2 linked regions of the Coturnix japonica genome follow. The protein of the gene in region 2 purifies or fractionates together with the protein of the main gene of each other region. This does not show direct contact. Links are inferred from orthologs where the notes say so. Each region holds a gene or a part of one and is shown on either strand. Other genes may lie near its edges.

The links.
Region 1: the proteins of IFT81 (region 2) and IFT74 purify together in Homo sapiens (affinity purification with mass spectrometry; 3 studies listed by BioGRID and IntAct, counting the BioPlex papers as one, with this or other methods). This does not show direct contact. The link is inferred for Coturnix japonica from reciprocal best matches to the Homo sapiens genes IFT81 and IFT74.

Annotation. Positions count from the first base shown.
Region 1 is NC_029547.1:60,475,932-60,479,752, forward strand, and holds part of IFT74 (intraflagellar transport protein 74 homolog), read left to right. Parts: intron 1-196; coding exon 197-295; intron 296-460; coding exon 461-521; intron 522-1,012; coding exon 1,013-1,072; intron 1,073-1,948; coding exon 1,949-2,010; intron 2,011-2,450; exon of another isoform or gene 2,451-3,137; coding exon of another isoform or gene 3,138-3,463; intron 3,464-3,731; coding exon of another isoform or gene 3,732-3,821. Other genes in the region: LRRC19 (leucine-rich repeat-containing protein 19), read right to left, coding at 3,138-3,463, 3,732-3,821. UniProt on the Homo sapiens protein: Component of the intraflagellar transport (IFT) complex B: together with IFT81, forms a tubulin-binding module that specifically mediates transport of tubulin within the cilium. Binds beta-tubulin via its basic region. Required for ciliogenesis.
Region 2 is NC_029530.1:4,608,854-4,612,674, reverse strand, and holds part of IFT81 (intraflagellar transport protein 81 homolog), read left to right. Parts: intron 1-1,540; coding exon 1,541-1,690; intron 1,691-2,699; coding exon 2,700-2,828; intron 2,829-3,758; coding exon 3,759-3,821. UniProt on the Homo sapiens protein: Component of the intraflagellar transport (IFT) complex B: together with IFT74, forms a tubulin-binding module that specifically mediates transport of tubulin within the cilium. Binds tubulin via its CH (calponin-homology)-like region.

The sequences.
Region 1 (3,821 bases), on a different chromosome or scaffold from region 2:
TTGCTTATGACTTTATCTGGCAGAACTTCTTTAATTTTTCCTTATTTATCTTGCTTTTCTTAGAAATGGTTTGTTGGAAACACAGCACAGTACTGTGTGAGCAGGATAGTGTTTCCTTATTGCACGGAGTACAGTTTTGTTTTTCACTGTGTTTCAGTTTTACATTTAATTTTTTTTTTAATGTTATTTTTTGCAGAAGCAAAACCAGTGAACTCACAGCAGAAATTAACAAGCTGCAGGAAGAAATAAAAATGTACAAGGAAGAGAAATCTGCTTATTTGTCATATGAGAGAAGGTGAGCTCTGTGGCACCTAACGCAAAGTTAACTTTCTCAATCACCAGACTTTGTTCTAGGCTACTATTCAGGCTTCAAAGAACCATTGAATTAGTCTTTTTTATTATTTCATTTGGATTAAATAACGCTTCCTGTTTTAAGTTTGGCTTCTTGCTTTGTATTCAGGGCAGAGGCTTTAGCTGGTGAAATCAAAGAATGGCAAGGTCAGCTCGAAGACTACAACATGGTATGCTTGTATCAGCTTTCTATACTGAAAACACGCTTTGCCCTTCTTTCCTTTGTTTGCTACTGATTTCGCTTTACTTCAACTTCTTTTTTCATTGCTGTTTCTCCTTAAAAGTGTAGTGGATAATGATTCTGAGTTTATTCAGTTACCAGAAGAGGAAAAAAGAAAACAGAAGCTAAGGAGAAAAAAACAAGAAATTTTGATATGTGTAAGCATAAGGTGTTGCTGATGCAATTAGGAAATCAGCGCTGTATGATAATTGAGTTTGTACAGCCGCATTAAATGAGAATTACTTCTTAGAACTGTGTGTAATCTGTTCAGGTTTAAAAGTCAAATCTTTTTGTTTCTAGATAAATACTGTATTTTCACAAATGCTTTGTGAGTTGCTACTTATTTTTCTGTTTCTTTTTTTTGTGTGTGTGTGTATGTACTTATTTTTGCTTTTTAACTAAGTAAGAATTCTGACAGGTTGAAATTCTGTCTATTATCAGGTTGTGGATCTACTTAATACCAATACAGACATAGCAGAAGTGATTCGTGATTACAATTTGGTAAGAATTAAGATATTTGGTATATTTAATCAACGGAATGGCATAGATTAGATGTCAGTGCTTTGAACACCTGACTTGTATAGAAAAGCACAATACTAGTTCAGAATATTTATTGTCTTTTCTAGTTTAAATTGGACATAATACTTGGCAACGTTATGTGTTTGCAGTGAGTTAGCCATGTAAAGTCTGGGCAGATGATAGTGCTTCTGTGAAGATAGTGCACCTGTGTCTTGGATTTGAGAAGGCTGTTTCAAAGTTAAATTGCAAGTGTTGCATTACATTATTTATCTGACTAAAAAGCACAGAATGCTGTGTGTTATGTTTTCTGTCATAAATAACTCCAATCAAGTCTGTGATGTGGACAATGTTTTTCATGATAATGAGATGAATTATCCAAGTATTAAAGCTTTCAAAGCATGTTCCGTTTCTTGAGACTACTTTTCCTGTTACTTTGGTAGCTTGAAAAACCACCTGTGTGTTTCTTGACCATTTTTATTTTCCGTGTTTGACTGAAAAATGAAGTCTCATTGTCTGTGTCACAAAGGGAAGAGAGCTCTGTTACACTTGCATTCTACCTCTGGGCTTAAGCAGTATTGTAGTAGTGGATCCCATAGTAATAGTATGGAAATTGATTTGCTACAGACTTGCTTGCACTTCTTTTTCAAGCACAGAAGGGCAGTGGAAGGCTACAATTTCAGAAACTATTTCTTCAGGACAGCCTCAAACAGCTCTGGAGCAGGAGGCCTCTGCTCCTCCTTTCTCTACTGCATTCTGAGCAGCTTCTTTCTCCATTGCAGAACCTTGAACTTGTGCATACACTATGTTTTCTTCTTATATATTATATTCAAATATATATATTTTTTCTTTTTTCTCTAGTTAAAAGTTCAGAATGACCGAGAAGCTCAGAGTGTGGATAAAATTTTCATGGAAAGACAAACGTAAGTGCACGACTTATATATGCCTGTCTAATACTGCCAACTCTTGACCTGAAAACGGTAAAATGGAGAAGTTACTGAGTTCAGAAATTTGTCAGCAGTGTCATCCATGAAAGTGACGATATCCCAACATTTTAGATCATATATCAGTGTCAAGTTGAAGCTGGAATTTCTGCCTTTAAATTCTTCTGAGTAACTACTGCGGTGATAACTTACCTTGTTATCCAGAAAGAAATAGGTGGCATTGAATTCTCCTGGTGTGTGGAGACCTACGGATTGCAGATTATGGGTGTTGTGTTGTAGCAGACAGGGAAAAGTAAAGCGTAAGTGGGGACTGGAACTGCAATTCCTGTCTGGTACAGTAAGGATGCATATAAAGAAAGTGAGCTGTTTGCAATAGGGATTTGTAAGTCATGAGAACAGTTGGTGATAGGCTGAAAGGGTGATATTTGTAAAATAGCGTTTTGCCATTTATTAAGAAGGCATTTTTCACTAAAGCTGTGGTTTTCAGCAGCTTGTAAATATGTCTGGTTTGTCTGTCAATATATTTCTAAGTGTTAACAAGGTGTGCAGAGACTTGGTATGATCAAGAACTAAGGCATAAAGGTATCAGATAAGTAGTGCTGCTTATCATTTTACTGTATGTGGGCACATTTACGTTGGTCTACTGATTCAGTGTAGATATTTATAGGTATTTGTTTTGCCTGTTAATGCACCGATCTGTTGGATTCCGTCCCCCAGTCTGTGTTCTATTTCAGTGATTTAAACAAAGAGTTTTTTGTTTCTGGCTTCTTCATCTATATGGTGTCAGTAATTACATCAGGCTCACAACCTCCTTTTAAGGACTTGGTCCTCTCAGGCAGTGTGGAGTAACCTCTTTTCCTCCCATAAATCATAGTGCCTTTTCTCAAACGTGAATCATCAGTATTCTATCATGTGTCAAAATATTTGTTGTGACACTAACGTGGACGTGACCAAATTTGTAACCTTTGTGATTTGTGCAGCTGTTCTCTGTCGCAAAATTCTTGAGATGCGAGGCTGCTTATGTTCCTTTTATACTGTATTTAAATAGCATAATATGGAAGGCTGAATAGATTGAAGAGTCAGTTCATTGTCCATTGCGTAAGATATTAGCTCTGCTCAGTTCCATAAGTATCTATGTATTTGTCCTCAATAAAGCCATCTTCCTCAGGTTCAGAAGTGTTAGTTTTGTCAAATATTACTATGGGATCCTCATTGTTTGTATCTGATATCGCAGGAAAAGAATTCATGTCAGCTGAGAACTCCTGTTCAAACATCTCAGGGTCGTTTTCTTCCAGACGACGGTGTCTGTAGCTCATCAAATACTGGTACCATGTTGGGCATTTTATGGCAGTAAAAATTAGGAGTGTAGTGCTTAAGACAAACCCCAGCACTCCCACGAGGAAGGTCCAGCTTTTGCCGAGAACTGGAAATTCTTTTAAAACAGACAGGAAAAAAAAGTTAGTTATATCTTCATGTGTAATCTCTGAAAGAACTCTAGTATGAATTTCTTAGTAGTTAGATTGAGAACACCTAAACAATCACAGGGGGATAACTGATTTATAATAAAGCCTGAAAAAATCACTTGTTTTATGGCTTTGATGAAAGAATAACGGTGTAGTAGGAATGTAAAATGATATGAATGATGGAACAGCAAATAAAACCTTGCAAGCAGTGGTGAGAAACATCAGTGTATTTATTACCTGCTTGTGTTCCATTGTTTCCAGTGATGTTTGAAGTCTGAGCTGTTAGAAAGACTGTGCTTTGATGCTTAATGGCATAGGTGGAAGGCA
Region 2 (3,821 bases):
ACAAGCCATTTTCAAGACCTTAAAAGTAGTTGTAAAAGTGAAAAGAATCATAGTTTGCTTTTCATCCTGGGGTGAGCTGACAGAAGATTATTCAGATTTGATTGGTGGTCACACAATAAGTTTCATCCTTTCCAATGCACTTTACGGTATTCCACTGATCAGATGAAACCTCTGTGCATCTACTCCATCAAGACGAAGGACTGCTTCTCTTAAATAATTGGAGAGAAGCTATTTATGCTCTATAATGTATTGAAAGTCACAGAAAACTTGGTGTTAGCTAAGCAATACCAAAAGAAAATAAGTCTTGTCTGTTAGCTAGGTGGGTATATGTGAATTTGCTATGAAAAATTGCTCACTCTGGTAATATTATAGTAAGTGTGCCAGTAGTATAACAATGACAGTATGACTGTAAGAGAACTGCCTCTGCTGCACAGTGCTGTGGATTAGGTGACCTTGTCTATCCTTGTCCTAGGTAGCGCATACAATGTAAAATGGTATTCCAAACCACACATAGTCCAATCTGCATAGAGCACATTGAGTAATTTGTGGGTTTGTTCTTTCACCAAAAACGTTTATAGCTTTTGGCTTTAAAAATAGTTGTGGAGCATAGCAAGAGAGAAGCAGCTTTGGCCTAGATATTGCACAGGATGGCAGATGAACAGGGTTGATTTCATTTTGGGCATTTTGCCCAGGAGACTTTTTATAGAACATACAGTTACTCTGGGGGTTCTTAGGCTGTGGTCGCTCTGGTTTTTTGCATCCCTTCTTTAAGAGGGAAAGTGGCGTAATTTTGCAAAAAGAAAAAAAAAAAAGTAAAACTTAAAATCCAAGTTCTGTTATGTTTGAGTTTTAAACTTGAGGTGGTGAGGCTCCTGTTTCCTCCTGGTCCTGTCACTTGTTCACTATGCACAGGCTGAACGCTCCTGTGAGGAACACTCTGAAGCCTGTTCCTGCTGCATCTACTCTAATAAATGTTATTTGTTTTCCATCGTTGGATCTGAGTGCATTTCAGAGCTGTGACTGGCAGCTCCGAGAGCTCTGCCTGTTCGACAGATGGAAAACATTCAGGCAAAGAAAAACATGACATGTTTGTTTCAGCACCTGATTTTTCATCTTGCAAATCGAGCACGTGTGGATTCCAATGTAATTTAGCTGTAGGGATGTGAACTATTTTGCTTAGTCTTCAATATAACTATAAAATCCCCAGTTCTTCCAGATTTGGGTGAAACATTTTGCAAACAGTAATTAGTTTTCTGACTGTCCAGTGGTGGTAAGTAGAACTGAAGGGTTTTTCTATGGCAAATGGATGAGCTGGGATAAAGCAATGGAGATGGATTTCTTATCTCACACAGCAAGCATACGCTGCTGAAAGTAAATAGACTCTGGGAATCCTCGATTCAAGTCCTCTGTTTTAAACACTTAACCTTCAGCATGCAGTCCAAATAGGATATTTATGTTTTATAGAGGATCAGTCTGTGATGAGACCATGCTCTTTTTAACTTTAAGTTGAATGATAGATACTTCTGTTCTCTCGCTGCAGCTTAAACACTATGTTAATAAGCTCCGGAGCAAGAACACAGTATATAAAAGGAAGCGACTGGAAATAGCAGAAATTACAGCTGAGTATGGCATCCTCCAGAGGACAGAAGAACTCCTAAAACAGCGGCACGAGGCTATTCAGCAGCAGTTGGTAATGCAAGCACTTAATAGTCCTATAGTCCACCACCCTTCCTTCCCTGCTAACTAGCCATATAATAAGGTGGATGCTATTTGGTTATTTTCTAATGCACGCCATCCTACTGTCATTAGTAAAAGAGTCGTTAGGGAACAAAATCTATTTGACTGCGCTAAGCTGCTGTACTTCATATTCAGCAACTGTTTTTTACAGGAAGTCATGAATGTTCTGCAATTTCTGTTCAGAATGAGGGGCTTGACCCTGCTTTCTGAAGTCAGTGGTAGATCTTCACTAACTCCAGTTAAAGCAGGGCTGCATTCTTATGTTAGGGTTTTCCCCTCATATCAAATGAACCCTTTCTAGCCCTGGTGTTACAGCCTGTAAACATCTGCAGAATGCTCCCTTCATAGTAGCAGCAGCTCCTTGTAGAGACATATGCTTGTAGAAGATTTTTGAGGATAATTGACTTTGGTGTTCATGGATAGATGGCAGTTTTAAGAATGAGTGCTTTGCAAATTGCAAATCAACACCTAGCTTTCAGCTTACTGAAAAAATAGCCTCCTTCCATTACATCAGCACTTAATTTAGTATAAATTTTATGTACCATAATGCAAGGATGTTGTAATCTGGCATTAATATTGCTGTAATTAATGCAGTATTTCTTTAGTTTAGCTTGACAGTTGCTTATAAGAGATCAGCTACCTTGCATCTTCTGATTAAGCATCTGGATATCACATATTGAGCTCCTTCACAGCCTGACCTAAAGCCCATTTCACATTGTTGAAACTTCCTGTTAATTTCATTGGGCATTAGATGACAGAATAGTGATGTACTACAGGAAGTTGTTACTAGCTTGCTGTACAGGCACGAGAGAAAAAGTTTGTCTTGGCAGCTGCATTACTAATCGCCTTTAAAATAAATGGATTGCAGAACTTTTTCACTTTCTTACAGTATTTCATCTTTATGAAGTAATTTGCTCTGTTAATTAATGGATTCACATTCAGCATTTATTTTGTGTCTGCAGCAAGCTATTGAAGACAAGAAAGGTATTTCTGGATACAGTTACACTCAGGAGGAGCTGGAAAGAGTATCTGCAGTGAAGAGTGAAGTGGATGGAATGAAAGGCCAAACGCTAGACAACATGTCTGAAATGGTGATGTCTGTCTTTAGCTGTTTTACTGCCTCCGTTTCGATATCTGCTTCCTCACAGTATAAAACCAAGTTGAATATTTTGGTTGGACTTTTCACTTTTAATATAGATTTATATAGAAAAATAGATACTTTCAAACAGTACAGATTACAAGCTTTGTCTATTTTTTTGTCTATTTTTGACTCTTTTTGCCTGCTATTTGACTAGATTAATTGCTTGACTCTTTTACAGCATCATTTTATAAAACGTAAATCACCAGGGTTAAGTATTCATTTAAAAATAGTTCATTTGTCTGAAGAACTAAATGTTATTTCTTCTCTTTAGCTTAATTTTCAGCTGTCCTTAGATCTGTAGTGTTTTAACTTACCATGTAGCCATAGAAGCAAAATATTATAAAGGAGCCAAAAGCCAAATAGCATTCTTTAAAATCATTAGGGCACTTTAAAAATAAAGTGGTAGAATCAAAACAGGATGAATCTCAAATAGAAAGATGGGAAGAATTTGAATTTTCAGTATAAATATTTTGAAGTGATTCTGTTTTAGCAAGTTCAAACTTTATTTCACCTATGCAGGGCTTATTTTGGTTGGTTTATTCAAAGATCTCTTCTGCCACTCCAACTCTGTGCAGTTCCTTTGTTTTCCCCTCTCCTGAAGCCAAATGGCATCTGGCAGATGGGTCTGCTGGTCTTGTCTGTGGTGTTCTGTCAAACGCTGGGAACAGAACTGGTCTGGTTTGTGGTAATGATCTCAGTGCAACACAGGCTCTTTCCCTTTCTCAATTAGTTCTGCATTTAAGTTATATACAGTTCAGTCTTCTTTTGTCACACTTTTTTTTCCTCTCCATAATTTTGTTTTCAACTCTTTTCACAATCCTAATAAATTAGATGTATTAATACCATAATATCAGTGTGTAACATTTTGTCCCTCTTTCAGGTAAAGAAATTAAATGCTATGGTGGCAGAGAAGAAGTCAAGCCTGGCTCCTGTCATCAAAGAA